3 linked regions of the Drosophila melanogaster genome follow. The protein of the gene in region 2 interacts with the protein of the main gene of each other region in a pairwise test. Each region holds a gene or a part of one and is shown on either strand. Other genes may lie near its edges.

Region 1 (10,015 bases), on a different chromosome or scaffold from region 2:
CGCACGATACGTCACAGAACATTCGGCGTTATTCGAGTGGAAACTGTGCTTCACCTAATGAGAGGGGGTATGCCCCTCAAAAAAAAGGGGGTACGGTCTGTGAATTCCTTGGGTTGGAGATCTTGGATCTATAAGTGTGAGTCATGCTCACGAAATTCGTGATATGGAACCAGGTTTCGGTCACTGGATAGGAATGCAGCATCGGAAATTTAACCTAAGTTATATAGTTTGTTCAATATTCGTATGCATATTTTTTTAATTTACCTATTCGAACAATATTAGAAAGAACTAAGGTACTTTAAGTACCAGTCACGTTTCCATCACTAATCGGAAGGACTCGAGCAGCAACAAACCGACTGAAAGCAAACAAATTTTATGCGACCACGCGCCATTTGATTTCCCTCAAAAAAAGGGCGAAAACCAACGATGTAAAGTTAAGTGGAAATTCAAATGGAAATACTTGAAGCAGTTGCATCGACCAGTTTATCAAAAAGATGCTCCCGAAAGATTTCGCCCCCTCGAGTTATGCATTTCTTTCTAATGAACTCCGGGCCTTTCAGCGCTTTCTTCAGTTCCATTTCTTTTATATTTTTCTTTTATTTTTTTTGGCTCTTTCGAGCAATGAAAATCGTAATGAAGCGGGGAACATTAAACAGAACGCCAGAATGGACGCAGACGATTTTGGAATGGGTTGAGGTGAATTTTATGCGCGTAATTAGCAGCAATTAGGGCGGCGGGGGCGGATATTCAATATTCGGTAAACAGAGCTTAACATGGACTTCGGGCCATTCATTAAAGTCTGACAGCAAATTACACTTTTTTCCCTGCGTTCGCCTTCTTGTTGTATCTGTTTTTTTTTTTTTATTCACACGCCTCGAATGGCATTTGCGAAATGCAAATTACGCTAAGCAAATTAGCGCGGAAGCACCAAAGTGCAAAGAAAAGAAAAAAATACAAAATATAAAAAATAAAAAATAGGAAAAGAGCAGGGAAACTTAAGTGAGGTGTGCGCCAGGGAAATTCAAGACAAATTAGCTGGGAAGTTGAGAAGATACATACGTGTGTAAAATATAATGCACCATGCGGGTGCACAATGCCAAATGAGCTGCGAACTTTGGTGCAAGTAAGGAAACTAAATACCCTGAGTGGTTATAATTATGGAAATTTATTCTGGTGACTCACTTAACCAGGAAAGAAAGTGGTAGAGGTCATGGAATGCCTTATATGTGGTAAAAGATATTATTTTCGTGAAATATAATACAATTTTTCGAGTTACTTGTGGTTCAAAAGTCTCGTACTTATCCCACCAAAAGTGCAACAATGCACTTTTAAAGCATTCCGATGGTCTTGAGCTGGGTTAACTTCTTGACACCTTCAAGTCGTTACAATTAAATGTGAAATATAACCGGGGCGCAGGCTGTGCACTCGCAGCCTCTGAAGGCCCAGTTAAGTTGTTAGAATGCACAATAAACTCATTCATAAGTCTGGCGTAAAGTCTCACAGCAATTTAGCCAAAGTCTTCACACCGCAACTGACTCGCCCACAAATCAAATTGCAATCCCCAAGAGCCGGCGCGAAAACAGAGCTGGGTTGAGTGTGCCTGGGTTACATTGATGCACTCAAAGAAAATATTACAAGTAGGTATCTAGAAAATTATGATGTTTTAAGTGTTGCACAACGAATTCGGAAAGCTTAAATCAAAATCAACTAAGCAAACGTGGTATGTAGTAATCAGGTAGCCAGTAATATCTATCATATTAATATTAAATAGCGTACAACTTGATTGGGTTTAACACTATTAAGTTAATACATTTAAAGTTAATTTTCCTTTATTTTAGGAGTGTTGTGTGGGGCAACAGGAAGCGCGCTGAGCAAAGCGACACCTGGCCGCTTCGCTCATGACAAACTGCCACTCCAGGCGTGGCTGGGAAAGCGCTGGGAAAGCGACAGGAGTCGGTGGGCAATTGAAAAATGACGCCTGCCCAGCCGGTGGAAATGCATTCGGCAAATGAAGCCGGCCCAGAAGCACGTGAAGCGAGCAAACAAGACACAAAAAGGGAGCATCGGCAGCTGTGGGAATTCAGTTTGAATGCGACCGATATGTCAATATGCCAACTGCTGTTTGAGTTTATTTTTTTCCGCTTTTCTCCATTTGTTGCCCACTATGGTTTATTAGCGATCCACTAATTGCAAAAATTTGCTTCGCATTTATCCGACGAGCCAACGACAAATAAAAAGGCCAGCATAGAGCACGCGTGTGTGGTTTTGCTGCTTTGTGATTAAATATTTGAATATTAAAAAAAAACCACGCTGTTATCAGCGATTTGGGCGCTCGGTTACCTGAATGCTGAAAAAAACTATAGAGCATTTCGTGTTGACCCTCAGCTGTAGACACTAATTGAAAATGGCAACTGGGTTGGAGAAATGTGTAAAAAAACATGATGTTTGTTTATTTTATTTGCCATGGGTAAAGTTGCATTTGCCGCGATAAGCAGCAAAATCACAACTGATAAAAGAAATAAGAGTCAAATGAATAAACAGAAAAATGTTATGTAAATAGTAATCAGATAAGGGAAAGAGTGAGCTGATAAAGAAGTGTTTCCTTACTCCAGTTGATGATAACTTAATAAAGGGGGATATATGAGAAGAAACTACATTTCATACTCACGAATACATAGTATTGAATAATAAATATTTGAACAAGATTCGTTGCTAGAGTGCAGTGTATTTAAAAATGCATTTTATTGTTGTCAGGTATACTCTAAATATTTACGATCACTTGTGCATACCTACATACGTATTGATTAAATTAAGTGAAAATTCCAAAGTCCATGTAATATGTGAACCACTCAAATGAATCATGTTTCCCGCTGTGTCAACTGGCTTATCAAAGTTTTGCCTTTTGTTTTAGTTGATAAGAAATAACACAGAAAATGACTCTCAAAATGAGAATGTTGGGATAAAAATGGCAACCTAAAATTGGCAATGGTATCTAAGCAAAAACAAAACAAAAAAACTCAGAAAGAACAGCGAGTTAGATTTTTTGGCCAAGTTTTATGAACGAAAACCGTTAAACGGCAACCGTTAGCTTTGATTTAATTAGAAGATTTTTGTGGGCTTGCTACAGTTTATCAAGCCCCAAAGACAACACACGATTTCAGCATCAAACTGTGGCCATGGAGGGGATTTGGGCTCTGCAGTGGCTGGACTGATTCGTATGCTTCTCTCACTGGCTCTTAAAGCAGGTTTTCCATTTGGCCTTTGGCATAAGCCCCGCACTGAACTACTCGAGTGCCCAGCAAAAGCCGCACAAGTCGCTCTCTGTGTGTGTTTGGCTTTGTGTGCCAGTGTTTGGGGCACACAAATATGAATAAAGGCTACAGTGGATGCTCGCGAAGCGAAACAAAGAACATTGGTGGAGTGCCAACACTATGACATACCATTTATTCAACTAAAAGGAGTGCCACTGTTATCGGGATTGCACACGAGCTCCACCTAGCGGCGTTAACAATTACTGCTCGCAATAACTTAATAATGAAAAGTTTTTTTAATTAAGTAGCTCACCATACCCGATGACCACTGTTCAAGGTGTAGTAAAACATCGGGCAACGAGAAATATGCATGATTTTGTAGCTGCCGTTGTTTTTGTGATTATTCCTCTCTTTTTTGCGGCTGCTGCGTGTAAAATCAATAAATTCGAGCGGGTTCAAGAGGTGACGACAACGTCGAAAATGCCTATGACCTTCAGGCCCCTAGCTGACCTTCGCCATGGCCCCATACCCCCTTGTTGCCCCCCGCATGCTACCATTTTCCGCCTTGGCAATTAAATTTCGTATGTAATTTTTTACACTTTTTTTTTGCTGGCCGGCACTTCTTAATTATCGTTGTTAAGCTGGTTATGGTTTGTTTTGCTTTTGCTGCTTTGTGCCTCGCTTTTTGTTCAAATTTATTCCCCGCGACCAGTGGCATTCATTAATTTCTTGCCTTATTCGCTGCCCTCGCTTCGCTCTTTTGGTTATTGATATTAATAAAACTTTTCTTCTTTCCTCAGCCCAAAAAGAAGTCCAAAAACAAATCGGCCAGCAATCGTGGTTGCTCAACAAGTTACGTCAGATGCGTTGGTGGGGATTGCTGTTTCAGGGTTTTTTGCCCGGATCCCGGAATACAAAACAAAAGATTAAGCTTTTGAGGGATTAGGATTACGGCCTTGTGTACCGGGCAAACAAATGTGCAAGTCTTTGGAAAAGCGCAGATAAGCGGGCGAATTATGGAATTTTACTTGTTTTTTTTTTTAATTTCTCTGCCGCCATCTGGAGATGAAAGAACCTTAATGAAAAACCTTCCAAACATTTAAAGATATTGTATGTTTATTTCCATAGTTTTATGGCTCTTCTTAAAACCTAACCTTCCTTTAATTGCCTTTAAATGTCAGTCTTTCTTAGCCAAAGGTTATACTAATATCTAGGTCGACCAACTAACTTTAGTTTAATTACACAGAGTGGCATTGACCGGAAACCTGCAATTTAAATTGTTCGTTCGCCTTGAACTTTAACCGACTTGTCGTTTGTATGTGCACCCTTGCATCTGTGCTTCAGTTTTTTGTGGGTCACCATTTACTGTTTCTTTTTAAAGATTTTTAAGGGTTTTACTTCTTGTGATATATTTTCTTTAATCTTAAATCCTTTTAAGTATATAACTCACCATCTTTAGCATTTGTTGCCCCCGTTGTTGTTGTTGTTGTGGTGGTGGTGGCCATAGTTTTAGTTTTTGATTTTATTGTTGCTGGTGTTGTGCAGGCAGAGGCCTCTGCCGACGCCGACGTCGCTGCTCTGTAGAAAGCCGATGTTGTTGTTGCCGATGTGGATGTGGTTAGTTTTGTTGTTGTTGCTTCCACGGCGCCAGCAGCTGACAAACTTCGCGAGCAGTGTATTAGTCACCTGTTCTTTACAGGTGCAAGAAGTAGGGGGTGGCAACTGGATGGGCTTTGTATGCGTATGTCAGCTGATAGGGGGGAAAAACGCGAGATTTGTTAATCAGCGTGGAAAAAGGCGAGGATGGGGTTTTCCAGGTGTTCCGTAACCAGGAAGTGCACAAAAATTAAAACAACAAGAATTAAAAGTCATGAAGCTAGTTTTGGTTATCTTGGTAAGAATCGACTTTATTTGCGGGTTTCATTCATTTAGCAAGTATTTGGAATTTATTTTAGTAGGGATTTTGTTTTTTTGATCCATTGTCCACCATTAAGGTTTTAAGTTAACTTTCGTTACTTTTAGATATCAAATCTATATATTGATATTTTGGGCACTCTGCTGCTTCTCTAATTTTGGTTCACTTAAGTGGCCAAGACTTTCTATTTAATATTTTTGCTTAGCACACAAGCAGCTGCCTTAATTTATAATTGAATTTATCAAATTTATTTCTGTTATTATTTCGCTTGCTCTTTTGTTTTTATTTTATTTTTGTTGCATGTGCGTCGGTGTTTATGCATGTGTGCGCGCGTGTGTGTGTGTGTGTGTGCGTGCTTATGCGAGAGTTGGTGCACTGTGTGTTTGTTGTTGTTGCTAGTGACGCGTACGCGTGTTTTCTCGCTCGCACCTGCACGTTTTCACTGGCTCGATTAGTTGCCGCACGCTGCTAACGGCCGCTGCACATGTTTTCGGTAATTTTACGCGATTATTTGTTTAGTTTCTTGTGCAATTTCACAGTTGTTTTTTGACGGCGACTCGCGGAGCGAGCACGAATTTGGTCACACCACATCGCCAGTGTGGCCAGGCAGGGGTCAGCGCCAAAAAATCAGGCGGCGCAGCTGAGAAATACCAAAACATATGACTTTGCAGAAAATACTGCTAACTTTTAACAGCACGCAAGTAACAGAATTCTGTTAAAAAAAAATAATTGTATTGACTTAAGTTCTACAAGAACAATACTAATTTCTCTAAATTTCAAGAAACAATGCGGTTCCTCTAGCCTTTTAATCGGAACGGTAAAGCAACTAGCTAGAGATCTTATAGAAACTAACAAGTTAAAATCCAAGGTTAACAGTACATTAAAATACAACTATCCGGCAACGTCAAAGTCATCTTTTCCACTTTCTGGCAGCCTGCTTTCAAAGTTTTTAAAACAATGAAATAACTGAATTCTCATATTGCACTTTAAAGAAATGTGGATTGCAACTGAGGGCAAATAACAATAATATAAAATTGTTCCTTCATTTTTGTTTTGTTAATATATAAAAATATCATGTTATTTGACAGAATGTTTTTTATAGTTTTAATACAACATTTTCTTGAGTTCTTTAATATTTTTGAATTCAACGTTTTTATTACGACTCCAAACCTATTTAACAGCCAACATAAATATTAAAGCCACTGAAAATTTTTCTAAGGCTAAACTCTCTTTTTTCTATATTTTTCTCGAAGTTCAAAAGGGATAACTGACCTTGGCAGAAATTCGTTTACAATTATTCACTATTGTTTTAGACCCAATAAACATTTTTTTACAATTTGACAACAAATTTGTGACCTTGACAAGAAAATATGACACCAATATTTCGGCAACAACAATCGGCTTAGGTTGATAAGTGAGGTAATTTTGGATGACGAAGATCGCCTGACTCTCCCACTCGCTCCCAGTTTTTTTTTTTTTTTTTTCTGACATTTTGTTGCTGTTTTTGTCACCCAATTTGCACGGGTATTTATTTGTTTTTTGATTTTTTTTTTAGTATTCCGCACGGCTGTTGAGTGAAAGTTGCCACCGTTTAGAGTAATGTGTGTTGTTGTTGCTGCTGCCACGCCCACTGCCCGCCCGCCTTATCGTCACCTGTCGCTGGATGTGAGTGAGGTGCTAATTCGACAGTCAATTGTGTAAAAAAGAGTACGGCTAGCAATTGCATAATATCAAAGCTAAAAACCGAAACTCGAGCAAAAATATTTTGGGCGCCAGAGATCAGAGAAAAAGAAGGCGATTAACCAACTCCAAGAAAAGCCATAAAAATCGACAGAACCGAAATGAGTTTTTTTTTTTGTTTGTAACTCGGGGGGAAACGTGTTCTTCCCATTGCCGAAATCAATTTTGTTGCAGAATTAAAAGCCACAAGCTGGGGTCATAAAATATCTGAAAGAGATCAGTTGTGAGATCCCAGAGTTTCAAGTCAATGTCCTTTGCAATCCACTTCGATCTTTGATTGCTCTTGATGCCCTCAGAAAAGGTATACTAAAATAGTCAGGCGATTAGTTTTATATTTTTAACTTTAATAGCAATACTTGATAGCACTTCTTGTGGAATATTAACAATATGCAATAGTTCAACTTATATAAACTTATAACCCATATCAAGCTGTACCAGCCAAGAATCATTATAATTCCTCGAATTGAAGGGTATTGAAACGCTGTTTTTAAAAATCAGTGCTTCCTCGTTTTTTAGTTGAATTTCGTTCTTTTTTTTTATCATCTTTGGTTGTAAATCGTCTTGGCCCTTGCAGGTTTGGCCTGTTTGCAGACCTCTTGTTGGCCAAAAGGGCCACAGAACGAGTTCTGACCACCGCCGATCGAGCTGCAAATGGTTCAATCGATCGATCGATCGATCACCATATGAAAGTCCCAAGTGGACAGGAGATAAGTTTTCCTTCTATGCACAGCAACGTTTTCTCCATCAAACGTTTGACCCATTTAACTACATTTAAATGTTCTCATTTGCATAGAACACATTTGGAGCTTTGTTCGCCGGTCTTGTGGGCGTTTTGGTTTGGTTTCTGTGCATTTCTAATGAATTATTAACCCAGAACCGGGGGAAAACGCATCCCAGCGATGCATCTTCCCTGCAGAGACAGTCGGTCCAAAGCTAATTGACTCTAAAAATAGCCGGAGCAGGTTTCTCCGTCCAGTCTGCGTCTGCATCTCGACACTGCATTTAAGTCGGTCTGGGGAACGGGTTTCCATCGAAGACCAAAGATCCAATGAGCTCAAGATTCACCATCCAGTCAGCAGAACGGCCGATAGGGCCAAATGCGTTTCTTGTAGGAGCGTTTAGCCAAACAAGAAAACCAGTAAAATCTGCTGATCAAATGTCGCTGCCTGGAATCGAGTCAACAAGGAATGAGAGTGAAAAAGTGGAAAACCTGCGGAAAAGGGGGAGTTGCATGCACCAATCGATGATCAGGGAAGACTGCAACAGAGACTAATCGCTGCACAGTTGGTCAATGTGAGAAATTTTGTAACCTTTAAAAACATTTAGCAATTATCACAGCAATAGATTTTTTCACGGATGTTTAGCTTATCCCAAGATTATCTCAGTTCAGTAAAATTTAATAGTAATCACAGTTTTTAATCCTAAGACAACAAGATAGATAACTACAGTCCTAAACAAACAAGGAAAGTATTCAAAATCTTGAAATCAAAATCTTGAAAATCAAAAAAGTATTCAAATGAAAAAACCCTATTTTCTTTTTTCCCAAAATTAGTTTTTATTTTTTTATTTTCTTATTTATACTCCTATAAACTTATTTCTGCTATATGCCCTGAGTAAAACAAACACTGATGGCCGATAAAACAAACATGATTGATGATGGTCCCAGCCCTTTTCGCTGTCCCAACGTCTTGGCCAATTACAAGTGCAGCTTCGTGGCCAAAAAGGCTTCTGATTCTCGATTCCTGTGTGCAATGCAAGACCAACTTGGTCCAGTTCAATGACACTCAGTGTGCAAGAATTGGCCAAAGACGATGGCACTGATACTACCACTTTTCCCCAACCTCTTGCTCATACCTTAGCCCTGTGTGCTTGTTTGTCTGCCAACAAAGTCGACGGCGGCTGCGCAGCCGGTGGTTTGTATAAAATGCGATGGGCCTAAAGAAATTTCAAACAGTTGCGGCCGTGAGGCGCTAGTGAACACATCTTGAAATCGAAGGAGATATAGGAGATAAGTCGCGATAATGAAGCCCGTTGCCTTGATCCTGGTTTTCCTGGCCATTAGCCAAGCCAGAGTACTCAACTTGCCCAAGGAGGCGATCGATATTCCTGTGGCCATTGTCGAGGATAAGGAGCCACCAGTAGCTTTGTCTTTGGTCAAAGAGGAAGTTAAGGCAGAGGAAGTTAAGCCAGAGGAAGTGAAACCAATTGCTCAAGAAGAGAAAGCCAAGGATCTCAAGGAGGAAGTTAAGCCAGAAATTAAGCCTGAAATCAAAGAGCAGCCTAAGCCTGATATAAAAGACGAGATTAAGGAAGATTTAAAGGCAGACATTAAGGAGGAGCTCAAGGAGAAGATTGAAGAGCAGATCAACGAGTTGCCTAATGCTAAGCCCCTGGAGCTGAAGGAAAAATCCCTGGAAGCTGAGGAGAAACCTCAGGAAATCAAAGAAGAAGTTCAGCAGCCAGAAATCAAAAAAGAGGCCACTGAAATCAAAGAGGAACCTGCTCAGAACATTCTGAAATCTCTGCCAGCTGAAGAGACTGTCGTTGTGCCTGCCGAGGAACTTTCCCCGAATCCGGTGGAGCAAGAGCAGTCGGAAAACCAGGACGCCGCGCATCCTCAGGTCCGTCAAGCCACCCAAGCCACGCCCACCCAGCAGAGCACCACCCAGGGCAACTTTGTCCAGCAGTTGATCCAGAACTCGCCAATTGGTCAGTTCCTCAATCAGTTCCAGCCCCAGCCAGCTGCTGCTGCCGCTCCAGCAGCAGCACAAGTCCAGGCGGATGATGCCGCCGCTGCGGCACCTGCAACTCCGGCTCCCACGGTGCCCGGTTTCCTGAATCCCCAGGCCGCCATCACCTCCGCCCAACAGGCCGTGCAAAATGCGGCCCAAAGTGCCGTCAATGCCACCACCCAGGCCTTCCAGGGCATCCAACAGTTTGCCAGCAACCTGGGCAATCAGTTCCAGAACACCCTGTCCAGCTTGACTGGCCAGCAGCAGCAGGCGGTGTCCACCACTCCGCGTCCACCAGGTCCCATCCAGCAGTTTGTCAACAATGTTTTCGGTGGCAATAACAATGCCACGGCTGCCGCACCGCCTGCCCAGCAAAG
Region 2 (10,853 bases):
CCCTGGACAGAGGAGGCCCAAAAATACAGATCTCGAACGAAGTGAGACGCTATCAGCATCAGATAAGCCCAACTAACGAGCGCCCCGAAGTGTCGAGCAGTCAATTTACGGACCCAAAACAAAGCGAGCCACTAGCCACGAACAGGTTCAATCGGGGGAAACCAAAGACCACCAGGCGAACCGTAGCACAGGTATTTGGTGTGTGGTTCTTGGTGCTAGATGCTGTGCAACCTGCTGACTTCCAAGTACACATAAAAACACTCAGGGGACCGAGGCGAATCGATCCATCGGCTTCGAAATCGATGGAAGACAAATTTATTGCTAATTGCAGAGCTCGCTCTCTAATAACTCCCACACATGGAGAATCTCGGCTGAGGCCCTCCATCGAGTCTAGCGATTCCCAGCTGACTCACGATCGGAGTGTCGGTTTAATATGCATCTCCGCCTCCTCAACTGGCGCTCGAATTACGATTGTGGCCAGCTTGGATTACCTGGTGCACAAGATTTGGGGCTAACGGTACCAGCCCTCTAAACTGGGCCTAAATAACCATGCGTTTCATGAGGCCCATAAACCTGGCAAACGTTTCATTTGATTGGTTTGTGTTGGGTTGGGATGGCCCCCTACGAAACAGTTTAGGGCGCAATTAAGATAGGATTTCAATTCCTTAAACGATGCTTAGGCTTTGGCGATAAAGTCACAGTTAAATGGATCACTTAAAGTTTTTACTCGATGTAAAGAGTTTTAATGTAAATAAATTCGATTTAAAAGTTAATGCTGTGACTCACAGTTTTGCCTTAACTTAGATTCCAAAAGGGCAGTGGTGTTTTTTTATTATGTGGCTACTAGAAGTGATATAAAAATCTGAACTCAAGTTAAAGTATGTTTTGTGCTCTTTGGCAAAATTCAAATATAATAATATAGTATTCTTAACTATGAATATAAAATGCAACTTATTATATATAAAATCCTCTACAGAAATGGCTACAGCTTCAAGACGCAGCAACTTCTCACACAGCAACCCGATCATTCTCAGCTTACCCAGTTTGTCCAGCCCCAAAGTCAGAGTACGCATTCGGTGCATCCGGGTCCAAGTCCTGGTCAACAGCAGGCGGGTGGCTCCATGACCATGCCGTCGTCGTCGACGGGCAAGGGAAAACGGGAGTGGGACATCAATGATGCCATTGTGCCACATGTGCCGGACCAGGAGTTCGACGAGTTCAACGAGTGGAGCGACGGGCATGTGAGGCACATCTATTCGCTGCACAACGAGGAGGCCAAGAAGCACATTTCCGGCTGGGCCATGCGCAACACGAACAACCACAACGTGAACATTCTGAAGAAGAGCTGCCTGGGCGTCCTGGTCTGCTCCCAACACTGCACCCTGCCCAACGGATCCAAGATCAACCTGCGCCCAGCCATTTGCGACAAAGCCCGGCGGAAGCAGGAGGGCAAGGCGTGTCCCAACAAAAGTTGTCGTGGCGGTAGACTAGAGATTAAACCGTGTCGCGGTCACTGCGGCTATCCGGTGACCCACTTCTGGCGGCACTCCGGCAATGCCATCTTTTTTCAGGCCAAGGGAGTGCATGATCACCTGCGTCCGGATCCGAAGAACTCCAGTGTTTCCAAGCGGGCCTTTGGACGTGTGCCGCTGGCTGGAAAGTCAGCCAACGGATCAGTCGCCAAGAAGTCGGTCATTGCGGGTCTGGTCAAGCAGGCGAAGGTGAGCTTAGATAGACATTCATTCACCCGGGATGTATCATCTTAACCATTCTTCTCTGACGACAGCAACAACACAGTCTGATTAGCAAGGTTCTTAAGCGTCCTGCTGTCAGCAATCCTCTGGCTCACACCGCATTGGATATATATCAGTATAATGGTAGGTATATAAAACAAGAATATTTAAAGATTTCTTTTACAATTTGTATCCCCCATTAGCCTGTGGCAAGTGCGCCGGTTATAGCCACTGCACTTGCAGCTACCTGGATGACAGCACCACGGCGAGGAGCCATCAGTTGTCACAATCCTCGAATTACGGCACCAATTCTTGGCCACTAAGTGGATCCGAGTCATCGGCACCCTGCGAGACGGCAGCTAATGTGTTTACGGTCAACCACCAGCACATCACCTATAACTATCCCATCTACCATGCAACTCCAGCGGCGGCCACCGCGGCACCTAGTAAATCTCCCAGTTTGCCCTACGCCTGCAGCATTTCGGAACTGGCCGCATACCAGCAATCCTCCAGCGGGAACAGCTTTGCGATGGGTGTTCCCGTGCACGGACACACACAATGCCAGGCAGTAGCCTATGATTCCAGCCCGCAACTGGCCACTCCGGAACCGGAGTTCATCAACTACTCGCAGATCAAGCATTTGGGTGGTGGCGGTGGTCAGGAGGAGATCAGCTGCAAGGCCGAACCGGGACCCACCATTAAGTACAATGCCACCGTGGAGACGCAGCCGTATGTGGAGGACAACTACGATTACTACTATAGCCCCAAGGCGGAGTACGAAATGCAACAGCACCACCACCAGCAGCAGCAGAGCCACCAACAGTTCGGTGGAAATCAGACAGCGGGACATCACTACTACGAGAGCAGTAGTGGCTATAATGGAGTCAGCTATTTCGACACAGGAACTACTACGGCACCAGGAAATACTGCAACCGGAAATGGCCTGGAAGTCGGATACGGCGGCTACTACGATCACTACACCAGCTACGAGCAACAAATGGCGGTAGCAGGTGGATTTGCCACTGCCGGAGGATCCACTGCGCCGACAGTGGCCGCGCCCCCTGGCCATCCACCGCCTCCACCACCACCGCCCACGCTGACGTACCACCATCACCATCACCACCACTTGCACCACCCAGCAGCAGCTACAGGCCTAGCCCCATCGGTCACCCATTGAATAGTACTTAACCAATCCGGACACCGGAGGATTACTCATAGTCGATAGCTAAGCATAGTAACATAGTGTTTAAAATAGTGGTGAAATCTTAATTTCCATCTGTACGTGTAGTGTTAAACGGTTTACCAATTGTTTTTCTCGGCAAATAAATTATGAAAAGTGTTGATTTGTAAAAGTAAATGTATTTAATTTAAGTGCGTAAATATAATTTCTTATTGCGCGACCAATTCAAACATAGCTAATTTTCAGCGGTCATGATGGTGCGGTTCTTGAAATCAGAGATAGATGTCGCGCTGTAAAAAAATTGTTGGTAAGAACCATGTAAAATGTAATGGTAAAAACCATGTAATGTAGACAAGCAGGTGCTCACTTAACCATAACTGTAGTAATTTTAGGACGCATTTAATGATTTGTAGTTTAAAATCGATAGATAGTAAGATATACTTTAATACGAATGATGTTTTATAATTGGCGGAAACATTTAAAGAAAAACAAATTGGCTGCCAAGACCCAAATTTTGTACCGCTTACATGGCTTGCAGTTTTTTTTTAAAAAGCCTCCTACCGGTAAGAAACTGAACTACTGCAGAGTTGCTTTACGATAAACTCACAATGACACACAGACACAGACACACAGACATAACCAGACTAAAGAGAATAGTACTACAAGTTATAATCGCTATCTTCAGCAAGAGGATTTCACATTTAAAGTAATCGCATAGTGGCCAGCAAAACCTATCGCATAGATGTGCCAATCGGTCTATCCATTCGAAATTCACCTTCACCAAACGCGACATACACATATGCAAAAAGAGAGCGTATAGCAATGAGAAGCGTGAGCGTGAGTAAAAAATCTATAAAAGCAACTGCGACGTGCTCATTTTGGTAAAAAATTTAGCTGTGCTGCAAAGAGCTGCCCGAGTGGTAATTAAGTAACTTTTGTACATTTCTACCGGTTCCGTCTCCACATCTCCCATCCAACATGGTGTACCAGGTGAAAGATAAGGTGAGTCACTTCAACCGGATCTATGGACGCATCACATCCGTCATCTATTGGGTAACTCGATAGCGCTACCCTTTGACCCCTCAGTTCCAGTTACACGTTTATTTTTTCGCTCCGGACTTTGAAAATATGGCATTGGAAGCGGCATTCCAATTAGCCACTTACTTTGAATGATTGGATTCGCTACGCTTTTTGCCATACGCTCTCCCGCGAATAGAAGGAACTCACGTTCGGTCTAGACGAGCGAGAAAGCGGAGAGCAAACGAGAAAGTTCCGAATAGCAGCACAGCGAAATGATAATGATATCATCCCGTGGACCGCAAAACGGGTCTCAACGGAAACCGAATTTTGAAATTGAAATATTCCGGACCGAGCTAATCGGAAATAGTGCGAACAAGATATACGTACTATAGAAACCACATATGTACGGATGTGTGTGCGACTGGCATGAATTTGCAATTCATTATCGTGGTCGAGGCCTGGTTTTTTGGTTAGAAATATTTCGAATAGTTGCTATAGCACAGGGTGTGCTCTCCACACATAAGTTGCGCGCCATGCAAGTTGATCCAAAGCCAAGAAAACAAAAGACGCGAGTGCGCGGGGTGAAGAACCGGTTCCATTTCATGAATACAAAGTTACGTCAGGAAATATTGGGAAGTAAATACGTGAAAGCATGCCTTCTTATTTTATTTCTCAATATTAGTTTATTTATATTTGTATACACACTTAAACACTATCAAACATTGACTCTCGCGGTCTAGTTCTATACAGCAAACCACACAACAATAAGCTCAAAAATCAAAAAATGCTTATCGAAGGCATAAGGAATCCACGAAAACATCAAAACATTTATGCATACTGAATTAGACAATATAACAAAGTAGTTTAACTACTGATTTTAGTTTTTTATGTTTACTCAGATATTGTCTTAAAAAATGAGTCAGCAATACATGTTGACAAATTGAATTGTAGCCAACAGTCATCGAGTACCATCACCATCTTGAGATTAATCATTCCATGACGTATGTGTCTGCAATAGAAATGATCTAAGCCTGATTAAAATATGTAATAGGGATGATCAAGTGGTTTTGTGCTAGCAAAAATAGCGTGTATAAAGTTAAATTTCTTGGGCATATACTTATGCAAATTCCTCCAAACCGGTTGCCCATTCCAATTGAAATCGTCAATTTCATTAGAGCTCTGTGCTTGCATGTGCTGTTCTGCGATTGGCATCGCTAGCAATTAATTAAAGGTCATTGGGAAAACGTGTCACGGGCAGAGAAATGGGTGGAAGAAAGGGGATGGAACTGCCCACGACCGCCACACCTTTCGGCATACATACATATAATTTGGAAATTCTTTAAATATTGATTTGCTTTGCTGCCCAATGGGTGCAATACAGAAACTGAAATGAAATTGACCCGATTTCACAAGTTTATGAAGCACACACACATATTTAACCCGTCAATCGGCGATTATTGGGGCTGATTACAGCTTGGCAACTTTGGGGATGTCTGACAACGTTGTGTTTGCAGGGAACAGGCTTATCGGGCGAGATAGTAGCGGGGCCTCCCCAACGCAATATGTATATTTACAATAGCACCGGATCAATGCTCCACAATCGGAAATCATAAAGTTTGAAAACATGACCACCACCTGCTAAAGGGAAAATTACTGAAACATCTCTAGGGAGTGGGAAATTATTAGCGCTAATGTATGATGATATTACTCAGAGATAGTACTAATTTACATTTTCATTTGCAGGCCGATCTCGATGGACAGCTGACCAAGGCATCCGGCAAGCTGGTGGTGCTGGATTTCTTCGCCACTTGGTGCGGACCCTGCAAGATGATCTCGCCCAAACTGGTTGAGCTTTCCACGCAGTTCGCCGACAACGTCGTCGTCCTGAAGGTAAATCTAAAAATGTGCTCAGCTTTATTTTATTTGCTTAACACTTTTTATGGAAATCCTTACTAAATGCCCTTCTCCTACAGGTCGATGTGGACGAATGCGAAGACATTGCAATGGAATACAACATCTCCAGCATGCCCACCTTCGTGTTCCTCAAGAACGGCGTCAAGGTCGAAGAGTTCGCCGGAGCCAACGCCAAGCGTCTGGAGGATGTCATCAAGGCCAATATCTAAGTGGGCAGCGCATAGACGTCTGGCCGTCCCCCTGATCCACCTATGAGTTTTCTTCATAACATTTAGTTAATTAATTAATTCCATAAGTGCAGGGTTTTGCTCCATTCCGCCTGCTCCGCCTTGTCCTTGAATCCCTTAGAGCTGCAGTGCAGTTCGCAAGGTGAAGGTCAGCAGTGGCAGCAGTTGGAACAGCAACAAACGTGAGAAACTAAGTGGCTTTTAAACGTAAAATTTGCTTTGTTAACAAAATCAATAAATCACACAAAGATTGTTCATTTTTGTATGAAAAACATTAGAAAACGCAGTTGTAGCCAGTTGTCCAAGAGAATACGCTAAACAATAAATGTATTACACACTCGCCGTTTGTAACCGATTAAATTGTTTTGCAAAATTCTGAAGGGGAACCTGGGGTGAGGTCGGATCTAGGAATGACACATAAAGTTGTGAAATGAAAGCCAAGTCAAATATCAGTAGCCAACAAGCAGACAAATGTCGTTACGGTTAAGTAATAACGATTAAAACCGGGTAACTACCGATTAGATAAGATACGGCAACAAATTTGTATACTCCAAAGGCATATCAAGTGCGTGATCAAAATGGCCATTTCATAATTAAAATCCACCAGATTAAAGCTAATTTTAAAATTTCCATTTTGAGAAGGCTCTTTTTATCTGTCAAAAAATATATTTTTACATATGTATATTGACAACGAAATTCAAAAACAAATTATATATTTCCTTGAATCCGTGATTGAACTATAGAATATCACTAGGCATTATTAAAAAATTTAATAAATAAATGAACTTATTTGAAAATGAAAATAAGGTAAAAGGTACCTTTCTTGCGATCAATAATATCAAAAGATTTAAATTTGTCCAAATTATGTTTGACAGCATATCGAAAGTTGCCAAGTTGATTCTTGCCATAAAGTTAAAGAACGAAAGTAAATGGGAGACAATATAAAAACAAAGTGATTAATTAAGAAACTATTTTTAATTAATTCAACATTTATTTTAAACATTTGAAAATAAGCCGTTAGGCTTGGACGAACAATCGATACTTGGCTTAGTGGGGACAAAAACCGAATGCAACACTGCGCCAGCTGTGTTGGTGGTGGGAGCGAAAATTGCCCGATTTTTCAGTAGTGTTTTTTTTTCAGTAGTGTCAGACTCTCGGTGACAACAACACGTCGGGAAATTGCATCGCTGTGGAAAACAATAAAATAGAGCGTGAGAGTGAGAGACAGTCGCGCGGGTGTCGGTCAGAAATAAGCAATATTTTCTGTGATTTTTGAGTGTGACGTCCTGTTTTGAGTGCTTCCGCCTCGTAATTCGCGGCATTGCTGCGGCCAAAAGTTCGCCATTGGATGGTTTTTTATAGCAACCAGCGCGCACGGAAATAAATCGGAGCACGGGGAGCACCCAAAGTGCAGAGATGTCGAGGCAATTTGCATAATTTTCGGGTGGTCGGTCGCAGCTAGAAAGTTGTATAATAAGATTGCGAAAACCAGGAGGTACGCCCGGCTCACCACAAATGGACGGGGAATGTTGTGGCAGCTCCACCGCGTCCACCAACACCACAACCATCGCCACCACCACCACCCCAGCTGAAAGCGCCTACACCATCGTATCCCAAAATATTTCAATAAATGTCTAGTGCCAGGCTACTCGAGTCGCAGACATCCGACGAGGATAACGAGGACATCGAGCGGCGGCCTCACCAGAGCCATTCACGCAGCTGCAGCAACAACACCACCCCCACCCATCCACCACATCCCATGGTCAGGAAGGGGGGTGTGGCCAGGAGGATCTGCCTGATAGGTGGGGCACTGTTCCTGCTCCTCGTCGCCCTCTGCTACCTCACCCTCAGCGGGGACACTCGCCTCGGTGGCTCCGAGGATTCGGAGGAGGGATCTCACCATGGATTAGGTAAGCAGCGGATCTCAGTAATGGAATCCCGCCCGGCTGACTGGCTGTTGAGATATACTCGACCTGACAAGCACGAGGGGGATGACCGGAATCCAGGTGAAGAGGAGTTCCCAGGGAATCTTAGTCATAGAGCGCAAGAAATCTACGAATATGAATGGAATTTCAAGATAGAAGAGCAAACGACCAAGCAAATGCAAATCCGAAATAGGCATCGTTTCGATCCCAGAATCCGTGAGTCATGCTTGTACTCTAAAGTTCCATCCCATGGGGGCAAATGCAGTTGGCGGCGCTCTTTCACGACTGCTGGCCGAAAGTGAATTGGCCACTCTGCCACCACTTTCACTTTTCATTTTGGCCCACTGCCAATCAAAGCCTAGTTCACCCTACGTTTTGTGGGGGACTTTAGTGAACGCCCTACGTTTGTTTGAATTAGAAAACAAATTTTACCTGTTATGTTATTTTGTTCTTTTTTTTTTAACGAAAGAAGAGAGAGCTAAGAACATTTGAGCAGTTAAAGCGCTTTGCCAACTGAGTGGCAATACAGACTGAAAAAAACTATAGTATCCGAAAAAAGTTTATTTATTATTTATAATACTCACGTGATATCGAAGCATTATACATACATACATAAGTCGATGTGACTGCACCACTTCACTTCTAAGTTATTGGATGCGGTAATTATCGCGTGAAACGCGTCGGCTCGTCGCTGTTCCGACTTTGGCTACTAGTGAGTCAGGTTGGGCTTTTTATTATTTAACCGTAATTGGATCTATTTGGTAACTATTGTCTTCGCCAAACGCGATGTACATATATATATATATATAATATATGGAAGTAGCCCACCCACAAGCGCATGCAGCGGCAATTACATCGATTCGCCTGTTGGCCGTTTTTTATTGCAATGAGCGAAAGCCGGAACAAGGTCAAATTTTCCAGTTTACTTTGCATTTTTATTGAATGGCCCATAAAAAGGTTAATCTGTTTTGACCACTTTAAACCTACTGGTTTAATCTAATCAGACAAACCTTTTCGATTTTAGGTAACAGATTTGTTTTGTATCTGCAGCCTATGTTTTAGTTATTTATTCACGAGTTTATTGGCTAATAAAGTTCTCGAAATACAGCTGAATTTGCAGAACGAAAATGCGGCAATCCAGATTCAAGGCTAATATGCAATAAGGTGGACCATTCAAGTTTGCGATCAATGATCGGGCTGGCCGAAACAAAAAAACACAAAAAATAATCATGAATCTATCTTCATCTACGGAATTTGTTGCTCGAATCAACGGTTGATTTAGTCAAGAAAATCCAAATCAAGTGCGCGATTTGAGTGGCACCAATTGTCTAATTGCACATTTCCCCACAATTTCCCAGATTCTAGATTGCGCAGTGCTCAGTTCTGCAAAGAAAAAAAGCTTTTAGCAGTTTTTTGCCTCTCATTTCATGAGTATAATTCACACATCGCCCCAATCTTATCAACATCTTGTATAACTAGGGGTACAGGGGGTCTATGGGTATGGCAATCGCTTTTGTTGTACCATATTATGGTGAGCCTGAATAATATGAATATATATTTATAATTCGTCTAGCTCTCGTGCAATACAAATTCTGCTCATCTGTTTCGAGTCGATTTCAGTATCTTTTCAATTGCGCGTGTCGAGTGCTATCTGTCACGACCCCCCGCCCCCTCCTTTATACAAGGTATTGTTGCTCGACTTTGAATGTGCACCTTTAAGCATGCTACCGTAGCAAATTGCCATCGAATTGTCTACACAAATATTTACAATCTGCGAATTGCACTCATATATCCAGAGTAATTTGAAATGCATGGCGTGAAAGCCAATTCAGCGGAATCTAAAACACATGTATAATAGAAATTTTTAGTTCAATTATATTGGCTTGTGGCCTGCAATCTGCAAGGGAAGATAAGTGTATCGCCAGGTATATAAAACGAGCTTCTTTCTTTTTAAAATTACTTCGGTTTGCAAGCTGTGATTGGCATTCATATAATAAGTTCATGAGATACAAACTTATAAACTTGACTAAAATCGTTTCATAGATAAGAAGCAACGAAATATTTGTTGTATGTATGTACACATATTGGGGTATATAGTATTATGACTAATGATTTTATTATTTTAATTATACCGTTGGTGGCACACGATGCACCTTCTACTCAAGTTCTAAATCACATCTTTCTTTGTTATCATATTATAGATACCGCTCTATTACTTATATAACCTGAACTACTTCTCGTATCTTCTCGAGAACCCTTCTTAAATATCAATCAAGGGAAAGTAACATTATCGATCTGTGGTATTAACAGCCAATCGAATGTAACAAGTTGGGATTGCGAATGTAGAATTGCTAAATTAGTCATTTCTTTATTCTGCACTTCATTTGCCTGGTTTCGCCAGTTTTTCTTTGAGTGTTTTGAGTGCACAACAAAAGAGTGAATGAATATGATAAGGACGGACCGTAAAACAATTTGTGACTCACACTAGCTATCCGTAGATCAGGTGTCTGGGGAATTCTCAATTGACTGTAATCAGGCTGCGGTCACAGTTCGACATCATCTAGATATGGGCAACAATCAACCGCAAATACGTATGTGTGGATGTGATTATGGCCAGATTGGTGTCGCACCCCACCAAAAAGTTCGTGTGCTATCTGATGTACTGGGACAGCTAGCCGCTAGCTAGCTATCGTTTCTTAATAGTGTTCGTCATCTGGAATACCTGGAAACCATTAGATTTTCGATTAGTTGATGGTTGAAACCGCCGCCTTCGTGTGGAGCATATTTTGATTGAAGGGGCTTGGTTTATATTTGCTTTGTGAATAACTTATTAGGGAATACTTTTGCTTTATAT
Region 3 (10,003 bases), on a different chromosome or scaffold from region 2:
TTATATGTATATTTTTTAGGAATTGCGAGCGCTTACCTTTCGGTGGCCGTGCTGGCCACTTCGTGGACATATTTGGGTTCGATTTTGGACTTGTAATACTGCTCCTCCCAGTCAGAACTGTTGATCACAAGCACAAGATTGCCGGAATCGCTGTAGGCCTTGAGGATGCTGATTACAACGCGGTCGTAGCTCAGGCCCCTATGGTATTTCAATATCTGGGTTAGACTGGACTATAGGAATAGCACACACGACTTACTTGGCGCAAACCAGCAGACCATCGGCCTCGACCAAATCGAGAAACATTTGCTTTTCGTAGTCGAGGAGGACCATGTTCTTACGCTTCAAATACTCCTCTACGCCCTCCTCCACCTGTGGGACGGTGTCGGCGCTGGCCTCCACTTCCTTCGGCCGCTCATTTTCCGTCCCTTTGGCGGCATTTTCCGCGCACGAATCGGCCATAATTAAATACAATCGCTAAGGATTTAATTTCGCAAATATGCCGGTTCAATCAGCTGGTCGTGGTTATCGGTACCGGTTGTGACAGGGCTGCCAGACTACCGCGATATGGTTAGAGAACAAAAGGTTAATATATATGAAAACTTTTTTTTTTGTCTCTAATTCAGTTAAAAGTTTTATTAAATTTGCTCATTTAGCGCAATTGTTTAGATACAGCAAGCGATTTTTGTAAAAACATAGAGACATACCTTATAATCCACTTACCCCATGCCATCGATACGGCAATATTTTGTCTCTAATTCAGTTAAAAGTTTTATTAAATTTGCTCATTTAGCGCAATTGTTTAGATACAGCAAGCGATTTTTGTAAAAACATAGAGACATACCTTAAAATCCACTTACCCCATGCCATCGATACGGCAATTTTGTCTCAAATTCAGTTAAAAGTTTTCTTAAATTTGCTCATTTAGCGCAATTGTTTAGATACAGCAAGCGATTTTTGTAAAAACATAGAGACATACCTTATAATCCACTTACCACATGCCATCGATACGGCAATATTTTGTCTCTAATTCAGTTAAAAGTTTTAATAAATTTGCTCATTTAGCGCAATTGTTTAGATTCAGCAAGCGATGTTTGTAAAAACATAGAGACATACCTTATAATCCACTTACCCCATGCCATCGATACGGCAATATTTTGTCTCTAATTCAGTTAAAAGTTTTAATAAATTTGCTCATTTAGCGCAATTGTTTAGATACAGCAAGCGATTTTTGTAAAAACATAGAGACATACCTTATAATCCACTTACCCCATGCCATCGATACGGCAATTTTGTCTCTAATTCAGTTAAAAGTTTTCTTAAATTTGCTCATTTAGCGCAATTGTTTAGATACAGCAAGCGATTTTTGTAAAAACATAGAGACATACCTTATAATCCACTTACCACATGCCATCGATACGGCAATATTTTGTCTCTAATTCAGTTAAAAGTTTTAATAAATTTGCTCATTTAGCGCAATTGTTTAGATTCAGCAAGCGATGTTTGTAAAAACATAGAGACATACCTTATAATCCACTTACCCCATGCCATCGATACGGCAATATTTTGTCTCTAATTCAGTTAAAAGTTTTAATAAATTTGCTCATTTAGCGCAATTGTTTAGATACAGCAAGCGATTTTTGTAAAAACATAGAGACATACCTTATAATCCACTTACCCCATGCCATCGATACGGCAATTTTGTCTCTAATTCAGTTAAAAGTTTTCTTAAATTTGCTCATTTAGCGCAATTGTTTAGATACAGCAAGCGATTTTTGTAAAAACATAGAGACATACCTTATAATCCACTTACCCCATGCCATCGATACGGCAGCTCGCAGAAATCATCGATAACCCGGCGCGAATAATAGTTGTAACAGTAGGCACGTGCAGGAACGTTTTGAATACAGGTATGTGTAAAAAAAGCAATATCATTCTGCTACTAGTCAAGCTCATAAGTACGTGTCTACAGCCAGGCGTGAGTGTTTAAGACTTTAAGGATTAAGACCTAGTGTCGTTTAAAAAAGCTGCAAAATGAAAAAGGCGACTACTTCCGCGGCCGCCAAGTCTCAAGGCAACAGCAAAATGCAGAAAAACGCAAATAACGGCACAGCTAAAGACAAGAAGAAGCCCAATCTAGATAAAGAATCGAATGATTCCAATTCGGTATCTGATATGCTCGCCGTAACCAAGGACCAAGAGGTGCATGCCTTTTTCTCTAAATTATTCGACGATGACGCCGGTCCATCAACATCCAAAAAGACCCAGTCAGGGTCAGCCGCAGCCGCTAAGACCGCAGATCGCAAGCGACGTCTTCAGGCCGAGGCGGATGCCAACAATAATGATACCGGAAAAGCCGGTAAGTTGACCAAGGAATCGGAAGCTACTCAAGGAGCCAGGGCCACCAAACGCAAGCAAGCACGTAGTCTGGGACTGGAGCGCACCTCGCCGATCCAGGTTAATGGCGCGGCTTTAGCCTGCCCTTTGGTGCGCAAATCGCTGCCCCCAGGGGAGGCCAATTCCTGTCCTCAGCCGCCCAAAAAGGACCCAGCAGCCGTGAACTCATTAGTTAAAATAATTAAGGCGGAACCCACCGAAGAGGGCAATAATAACAATGACGAAAAGGAGACTGAAACAATAGAAACTCACAAAGCCGACAGCGTCGAAGAGGGTCGTCGCGTCCTGCAGTGGATACTCTTTCCGGTCCAAACTAAAGTCTTCTTCAAAGACTTCTGGGAGCACACCGCCTGCCTGGTGCAGCGCTCTAATCCCAAATACTTTCAAAGTATGATATCATTCAAGATGCTTGACGAAATACTGATTCGCCATCATTTGGACTTCACCGTCAACGTGGATGTGACCACTTACAAGAACGGCAAGCGTGAGACACTGAATCCCGAGGGTCGTGCCTTGCCACCAGCTGTGTGGGGCTTCTATTCGGACGGCTGCAGCATTCGTTTACTGAATCCTTCCACCTATCTAATTCGCTTGCGTCAGGTGTGCACCGTTTTGCAGGAGTTCTTTCACTGCAAGGTGGGGGCAAATCTATACCTAACCCCACCCAATAGCCAGGGCTTTGCGCCCCATTACGATGACATCGAGGCTTTCGTTATCCAAGTGGAGGGACGCAAGCGCTGGCTTTTGTACGAGCCGCCCAAGAAGGCCGATCAACTGGCCAGGATCTCGTCGGGCAACTATGATCAAGAGCAGCTGGGTAAGCCCATAATTGATGAGGTACTAAGCGCCGGCGATGTACTATATTTCCCGAGAGGCGCTGTTCACCAGGCCATCACCGAAGAGCAACAGCACTCGCTGCACATTACCTTGAGTGTTTACCAACAGCAGGCATATGCCAATCTTCTAGAGACACTAATGCCCATGGTTCTTAAGAAGGCCGTCGATCGGAGTGTGGCCTTGCGTCGCGGCTTGCCGCTGCACACTTTTCAAGTTTTGGGCAATGCCTACAAGGGAAATGACTGCGGGTCGCGCAAACAGCTGGTGGAGAATGTGCAGAAGCTGGTGACCAATTACTTGATGCCCTCCGAAGATGATATTGATGAGGCCGTCGACCAGATGGCCAAGAAGTTCCAGCACGAGGCACTTCCGCCGATCGTATTGCCCTCGGAGGAGGTGCGCACTGTTCATGGGGCACGCAGTGATGCCGATGAGCAGGGCAACTGCGTCTGCGATTACAAATTCAATAAAAAGACATCCGTGCGCCTGCTGCGTGCCAACATTCTGCGTCTGGTGACCGAGTCCGATGGCAGCGTGCGTATCTACCACCATGTGGACAATGGCCTGGATTACTGCAAGTACGAGCCCTATTTCATGGAGATTCTGCCAGAGGAAGCTAAAGCCGTTGAGCTCCTCATATCGGCCTATCCATTTTACCTCACCATTGATCAGTTGCCATTGGAGTCTTCAGCTCGCAAGATAGAGGTCGCCACCGCCCTGTGGGAGCATGGTCTTCTTATGACCGAGAAGCCGTTTAAGTAGACGGCAATCGAAAGCGAGTTGCTGTTGATAATTAGAATTAAGTATCGATGCGAATGTGTATCTAAAACGAGCGTAAATTAATATTTTTGTATAAATATGTAACCAGATTTATAATGCTCCTATTCTGCCGAAAATAAAGCACCCACATTCGCACATATATCTCGGTTGTTTTTTGGTGTTTCCAATAGTTGTAAATTTTATTTTTTTCACTAACAAAAAATGGTTATCTTAGGCGCTGCGGATTTTCTTGCGTTCACGATAAAGGCTTTCCTGTTGAACTGAAAAAGAAACATGGGCAACATCAGTGCATATGCATAAAGTCAGTGATGGCCGGCACTCACTGTACGGATCGAAGCGTATTATCTCCAATTTGTCGGCCAAGCGATCGCGAAAAGCATTAAACTGATGTCCACTGACCACACTTTCCAGTACGACCATGATGCGCCTGTAAAAACGGTTGGTTTTAACAAAAAGAACAAATTGGATGTCCAAATTACTCACTTGCTCTTCACCTTTTTGAACAAAACGTTAGTTAGACGCATTTTGATTCGGTAAATGGGGAAAATGCAGTGAATTATGGAAATATGCCGCTGAAATTATTGTGCAAGCAAGACGATAGGAACGAAGAACAGCTGACTGCGCCTATCGATTACCACCCGAGGGCTCAAGCTTTTCACCCGGATATTTTGAAAAACAATCGGTGTCCACGTATGATGAGTATATATTTAATATTACTATATTTATATTTGATGCATTTATGTCTCTCTGTTTTAAAGCCTTCCTTTCGAAATTGCTAAAAAGCTCTCAGATGCAATGTGGTTAGTAGAAGTCATTCACATATGTATCTTTGGTTGAAGTCCCTGCCAATTAAATATTAAAAAGTTAACATACAGGTTTGAGTCCGTGCTAGAGACTGCAAGCTGTGCCACTGAGGTTAACAGAAGCCAATCGATACCAAGCGCAAGCACTGAAATGTATCGTCGAGAAACATCGGTGGTCAATGCATTCGATGCTTTTTTACATCACTAACACTCGTGCGAAACGGACGCGAATTTTCATTTGTGCTGCGGAAACCAACAACAACAGACAACAAATAAAAACAAACGAAAAACAAAACGGTCAAAATTCCGTGTAAAAAAACTGAAGCCTTGGAAAAATAGAACGAAAAACATAGACGCACTAAAAGCTCAGTGAAGTCCTTTGTGGGCGAAACCGTATAATAAAATAAATCACAGCCACACGCGCTTTCTGTAACTCCTTTTCGCCTTGCCCTGCTCTTGTTTTCCCTTTTAAATATTTTTTTTACGAGTTGGTTTCCCGAGAATTTCCCATACTCGCGCGTGGTAAACAAGACTCATTTTTTTTTTACAGTGTTTGTTTTTTGAAAGTGCAGAGAAGCTGACAAGAAAGAGATAACAACATAAAAACAGAAACAGCCAAAGAGTGGCAACAACAAACAAACCAACCAAACGGAATCAAAGTCAAACAAACGCGAACGCGAAGGAAGCTTCAAAAGAGAGACAAGAGCGTGAAAAGGAGGTGGAGAGGAGCTGCGGAGAATCTAAGGTAGGAGGCAGATTGCGAAAAATACGTTTTTTTGTTTTTTGTTGATTTGCATTTGCATATTCAAAAGTTCTCTGTTTTGAGGGTTGCAGAAGCGAAATTAGTTTTTAAAGCCCGCTTAGTAGCCAATTTGCCGGAATTGCACATTGGAATTCAGTGTGTTCCTAAGTACATAAATCACTAAAAACTAACGGCAAAAATTCAAATAGCTTTCAACAAATATTTACAATTACTCATTGATAAAAGTGGTAATGTGATCCATGTGTAAGTTGTTAAATTATTTTCGTAGCGCATTTGTACGAATGAAAGACTGCAGTAAAAGTTTTCGATTGCATGCAGATCGCTTTCCGAGTTTAAGAAGAAAAGTTGTGGAAAACGTTTTCCTTCTTTAGAGACATCAACTTAATCAAATATCGAACAGCTAGTAAGCCATTGAAATCACATCAGTTTCTTTCTGTGCATCTGGCAAAGTGCTTGATTGTTGATATTTCGAGAGGGGGTTTTCGAAAAGCGATCGGAAATCCAAATTGTAAATGATTTACCAAAAACGTAAACTTGGCCGTGACGAGGGGCAAGAAATGGTCGAAACGTGGGCTGGAGCGGAGCAGGAGCAGGTGAAATACATAAACAAACAAGTGCTCGAAGGAGGGTTAGTTGTGGGAGGGGCTACGCAAATACATAAGTATATGAATAAATAATATAAACAAAATATTAAATTAGAAGAAATTTACTTGCGCGCACGCCGACGCAAACACGAACACAAGGTGCTGGTTGTTGTTGTTAGGATGGTGTGGATATGTGGTGGGGAGGGAAAAGCACACATAAAATTGAAGTATTCAAATTTACACACGCAAAAAACGACGTCGGCAGAGCAAACAACAATTTGCCAGTCCGCCAGCCCTCTCGCTCGCACCCATCCGCACTTGGTCGCCGCGTCTCGCTCGCACTAACGACGGCCACTTGTTTTGCCCTCTGTCGACGTCCACGCAGCCACTGTGCACTGAAAGAAACAAAAGACATGGTACAACATATTCATGAATCGCTTGTAAGATTGATATTTTTTTATAAACGCTCACTTTTCTGTTAACAATACAATATTTTACTCGAAAAATTTAAGAGTTTAAAATATTTAAACTTTAGTGTAAAATCACTGAGTTATTCGACACTGTTATTTCAAAATAAAAAAAATAATGATTTACGACCGATAAACAAAACAAATTTAAAAAAATTGAGCCGCAAATACTTTAAATCATCCAATTCCCATTTAGCTTTATCATTTTTTTTCTTTTTAATTTTGTAGGTGTTAATTAGCAAATACTCATATTTTCCATCTCTCGCCCAAGCTGCAAATGTGCATTATTCAAGCTCTACTGTAGTTCTACGTAGCTTACTTTTTGTGGCAAGTGTGGCGATCAGAAGCTTTATTATGCTTCTCCCTCATTTCCTTTTGTTTGTTTGAACTGCAACCGAGCGAAAGGGGGCGTGCCAGTGGGCGGTGGGTGGCCTGGGATTGTGCAATAAAGCTATAATAATAAAATAACAAACAAACCGTTAAAGCGAACGCCGTCGCACACTCATCGCACCCACACAAACGCACCATAGGTATTGGTGTGTGGCTGCATGATGGGGCGGAAGAAATGGAGAGGAGAACGGCAGGCGAAGGAACAATAATCATATTTGCACTTGCTCTCTCGCACGATCATCACCCACGCAGAAAGAGCGGGCAAGAGCAGCAGAGAGCGCCGGTACAGTAGTCATTCGTCGCACGTATATAGCTGGCCATAAAAGTGGATAGTCATCAATGTGTACTGTTTAGTTTCATAGCATTTATAGAGCAGTTTAGTTTGTTCAATATATTCATATGCAGATTAATTATTTAAATCAGCACTTATCCGTCTGCACAAAAAGGCCCCACTGTACTTGAGATAAAAGTTCTCCGTTGCTGGCTCTCCGTTCTCAGTTGGTCAGTGGTCGTCCGCCGGAGCTTTTCCCGTTAGTCCGCTCGCATAATATAATCCGCGATAAACAAGGGAACACGGCACGGAGAGAGAGCGAAACGGCAACGTGTTTCGTTTTGGTGTCAGTTTCGGTTTTGTTTGCCGCATGTTTACCCATTGTATTATTATTACCTGTTCTATTTCTTTTTCTTTTTTTTATGTGTGTACATTTTCACAGCAATCGCATATTTTTTGCAGTGGCTGTGAGCTGAAATACAAAAAATAAAAAAAACAAGTGCAACCAAATACAGTGTTACCTGTTGTGAGTAAACTTAAGGAAACGTGGAGAGAGCGAGAGAGTGCGACAGCCGACTGATCAAACTGTAAATCTTGCAATGCTCTTCAAACTGAAATTCGCAAGGCGGGAAAAAACAAACAAATATAAATAAACAAGAATAACAAACAAAAATAGGTAGCAAAAGCAGGAACAACAAAAGCCGAAGCCAATTAATTAAATACATATCTACGTAAGTTAAACACACAAGCCAACACGAACTATGATCAGGACACTGAGAGAAAAAGGATGCAACTGTTTGCTATTGCAAAATAAACTGAAGTAGCATACAAAATGACATGTTTGATTTTAGATTATATTGTGAATTAAAAAGTTCTTAGTCATGACATTCATATTTCGGGGTATCTTAAGTTCATTTGCAAGTTCACTGAGTCATCGCTTGCTTTTAAAATATTTATTATTCCCCAGAGACTACATTATTAAGTCGCAGGCATTATAAGGGATTTGAAAGGGCGGCCAAGCACATGCCTCATTTTGTAATAGATAGTGCATATGCATATTCCCAGTTCCGGAAATATGTATTGTTATCTCTCATATGGAAATTGCTTGGTAACAATTTATGGTCTTGTATGCAGTAAATAATCTTGAATTATCGTAAATTATCAAAAATCGCCGAGGATTACCAATGCGAAGATAAAACGTTGGAGTTTTCGCCCTTCATTTGTGCCTAAAAAAAAAAAACATCGCTTTGTTTTGTGCCTATATATAGAAGCCCGGGTGCAGAGTGCAGGTGTTTGGTTTGTTTGGTATTCGTAGTTTTATATTCGTCGATGAGTAGGCGAAAATATCAGCGGGCTGAATTACATTCCTAATTGCAGATTAGTTTGTTAATAAAAGTGTCCGTCCAACGTCGAGTCTCCGTGCTCCATTTGGCATATCCATTTGGATGATACAATATACATACGTACATACATACATACATACAATGAACACCATTGCCATTCGCACTTTCATACCCATTGCCACAATTATGGTTCGCATTGTATTATGCATTTATCGAGTTAAGGCCTTTGTGCCTACGTCGACTCAGTTCACCTCGCTTGAGTTGAGCCAGCGATTCCGTAATTCGGATGACATTGGGCCCTCCAATGAATGCCAATATTCGAAGTGAGCACACGGCGTATGCGTAATTTTTGTAAAGCTTTTCCGCACTTTGTATCATATTTACTCGACACTCTTTGTGTCCAATGAACATATCGTCAGTAGCTACTTGATCAGTGTTTATTAATTAAATACAAGACCATTTCAGTGTTAGGCTACTAATTATTGAAACAAATTAATCCCCAAGTACTTAATGCAGAGTTACAGTCTACAGTTCAAAGTAGAGGAGAAAGCACATTGCTGTGTGCAAAAGTAATGGGTATTTTATTGACCAAATACAAACAGTCATAACATTCTGGCAGGCTATTGGCTATTCACTACCAAACTGTCAATCGTGTTTGAATACCATTTCGAAATTAGAATGAATTGTGTATTTTGCGGTCCGCCGCAACGAAACTATAATGTGTGGGGACAGTCGTCACATTCGGATGTTGCAATCAAGTGAGTTGGAAAAAATGGGATTTGGACATGCACGTTATGAGTTTATTTCGCTTTAGTTTTATTTTAAAGCAAAAAGGAAATAAGAAAAAATGTAAAGTTTAAGACTGGTACAAAATTTATTCGAAATTTGTTTTTCGTTTAGGAAAAACCGTGGGCACATTAAAGATGAAATATATCTAATATACGCATAAAATTTGTGGTATTGTGTTGCTCAGCTACCTGATTCCTAGTTAATACGCTTCTCATTCGTCGTTGCACGTCCCTGGATGCGTAGCCAGAGTCCTTTTCGCATCCTTCAGCCAAATCAATACATTCTAGCATTTAGCAAAAAGATGGCGACCATGCCTATTCGGAGTAAATTGTCCTTCATTGGGGGTGTGGTGAACGATGGCGCCACACAATCGAGTATTCCGGCCACCACGTGGTATATGCAAGAACGGAAAGACTGCCATTTGACGGCAGCCATGTATAAGATCAGCCGGCGAGTAAAGCTCATTTTCTCCTTCAGACTCGAAACCTCCTTCTGCAGTTCGACTTCCAGTCCGGTTTGGCTCAACGTCTCCCGGTACCTTCTGTTGGAAAACGTTTTTTAACAAACGATTTTAGTGAGAAC

What was found.
Region 1: the proteins of Trx2 (region 2) and Eip63E interact in a two-hybrid assay, tested with the Drosophila melanogaster proteins (one large-scale study listed by BioGRID).
Region 3: the proteins of Trx2 (region 2) and NO66 interact in a two-hybrid assay, tested with the Drosophila melanogaster proteins (one large-scale study listed by BioGRID).

The regions. Positions count from the first base shown.
Region 1 is NT_037436.4:3,511,515-3,521,529, reverse strand, and holds the start of Eip63E (Ecdysone-induced protein 63E), read right to left. Parts: upstream 5,780-10,015; 5' UTR 5,596-5,779; exon of another isoform or gene 5,002-5,595; 5' UTR 4,757-5,001; coding exon 4,702-4,756; intron 1-4,701. Other genes in the region: ImpE2 (Ecdysone-inducible gene E2), read left to right, coding at 8,928-10,015.
Region 2 is NT_033779.5:9,609,626-9,620,478, forward strand, and holds Trx2 (thioredoxin 2), read left to right. Parts: upstream 1-3,540; 5' UTR 3,541-3,750; intron 3,751-3,788; exon of another isoform or gene 3,789-3,807; 5' UTR 3,808-3,891; coding exon 3,892-3,915; intron 3,916-5,676; coding exon 5,677-5,823; intron 5,824-5,906; coding exon 5,907-6,056; 3' UTR 6,057-6,779; downstream 6,780-10,853. Other genes in the region: gcm2, read left to right, coding at 977-1,721, 1,787-1,877, 1,937-2,910; GlcAT-S (glucuronyltransferase S), read left to right, coding at 7,705-8,215. UniProt on the Drosophila melanogaster protein: Participates in various redox reactions through the reversible oxidation of its active center dithiol to a disulfide and catalyzes dithiol-disulfide exchange reactions. As a reducing substrate of peroxiredoxin 1, thioredoxin 2 is preferred over thioredoxin 1.
Region 3 is NC_004354.4:4,317,597-4,327,599, forward strand, and holds NO66 (nucleolar protein 66), read left to right. Parts: upstream 1-1,841; 5' UTR 1,842-1,907; intron 1,908-1,969; exon of another isoform or gene 1,970-1,973; 5' UTR 1,974-2,031; coding exon 2,032-3,993; 3' UTR 3,994-4,149; downstream 4,150-10,003. Other genes in the region: mei-9 (meiotic 9), read right to left, coding at 37-198, 257-459; mRpL33 (mitochondrial ribosomal protein L33), read right to left, coding at 4,222-4,271, 4,335-4,438, 4,495-4,535; CG12693 (uncharacterized protein), read right to left, coding at 9,695-9,962. UniProt on the Drosophila melanogaster protein: Oxygenase that can act as both a histone lysine demethylase and a ribosomal histidine hydroxylase. Specifically demethylates 'Lys-4' (H3K4me) and 'Lys-36' (H3K36me) of histone H3, thereby playing a central role in histone code.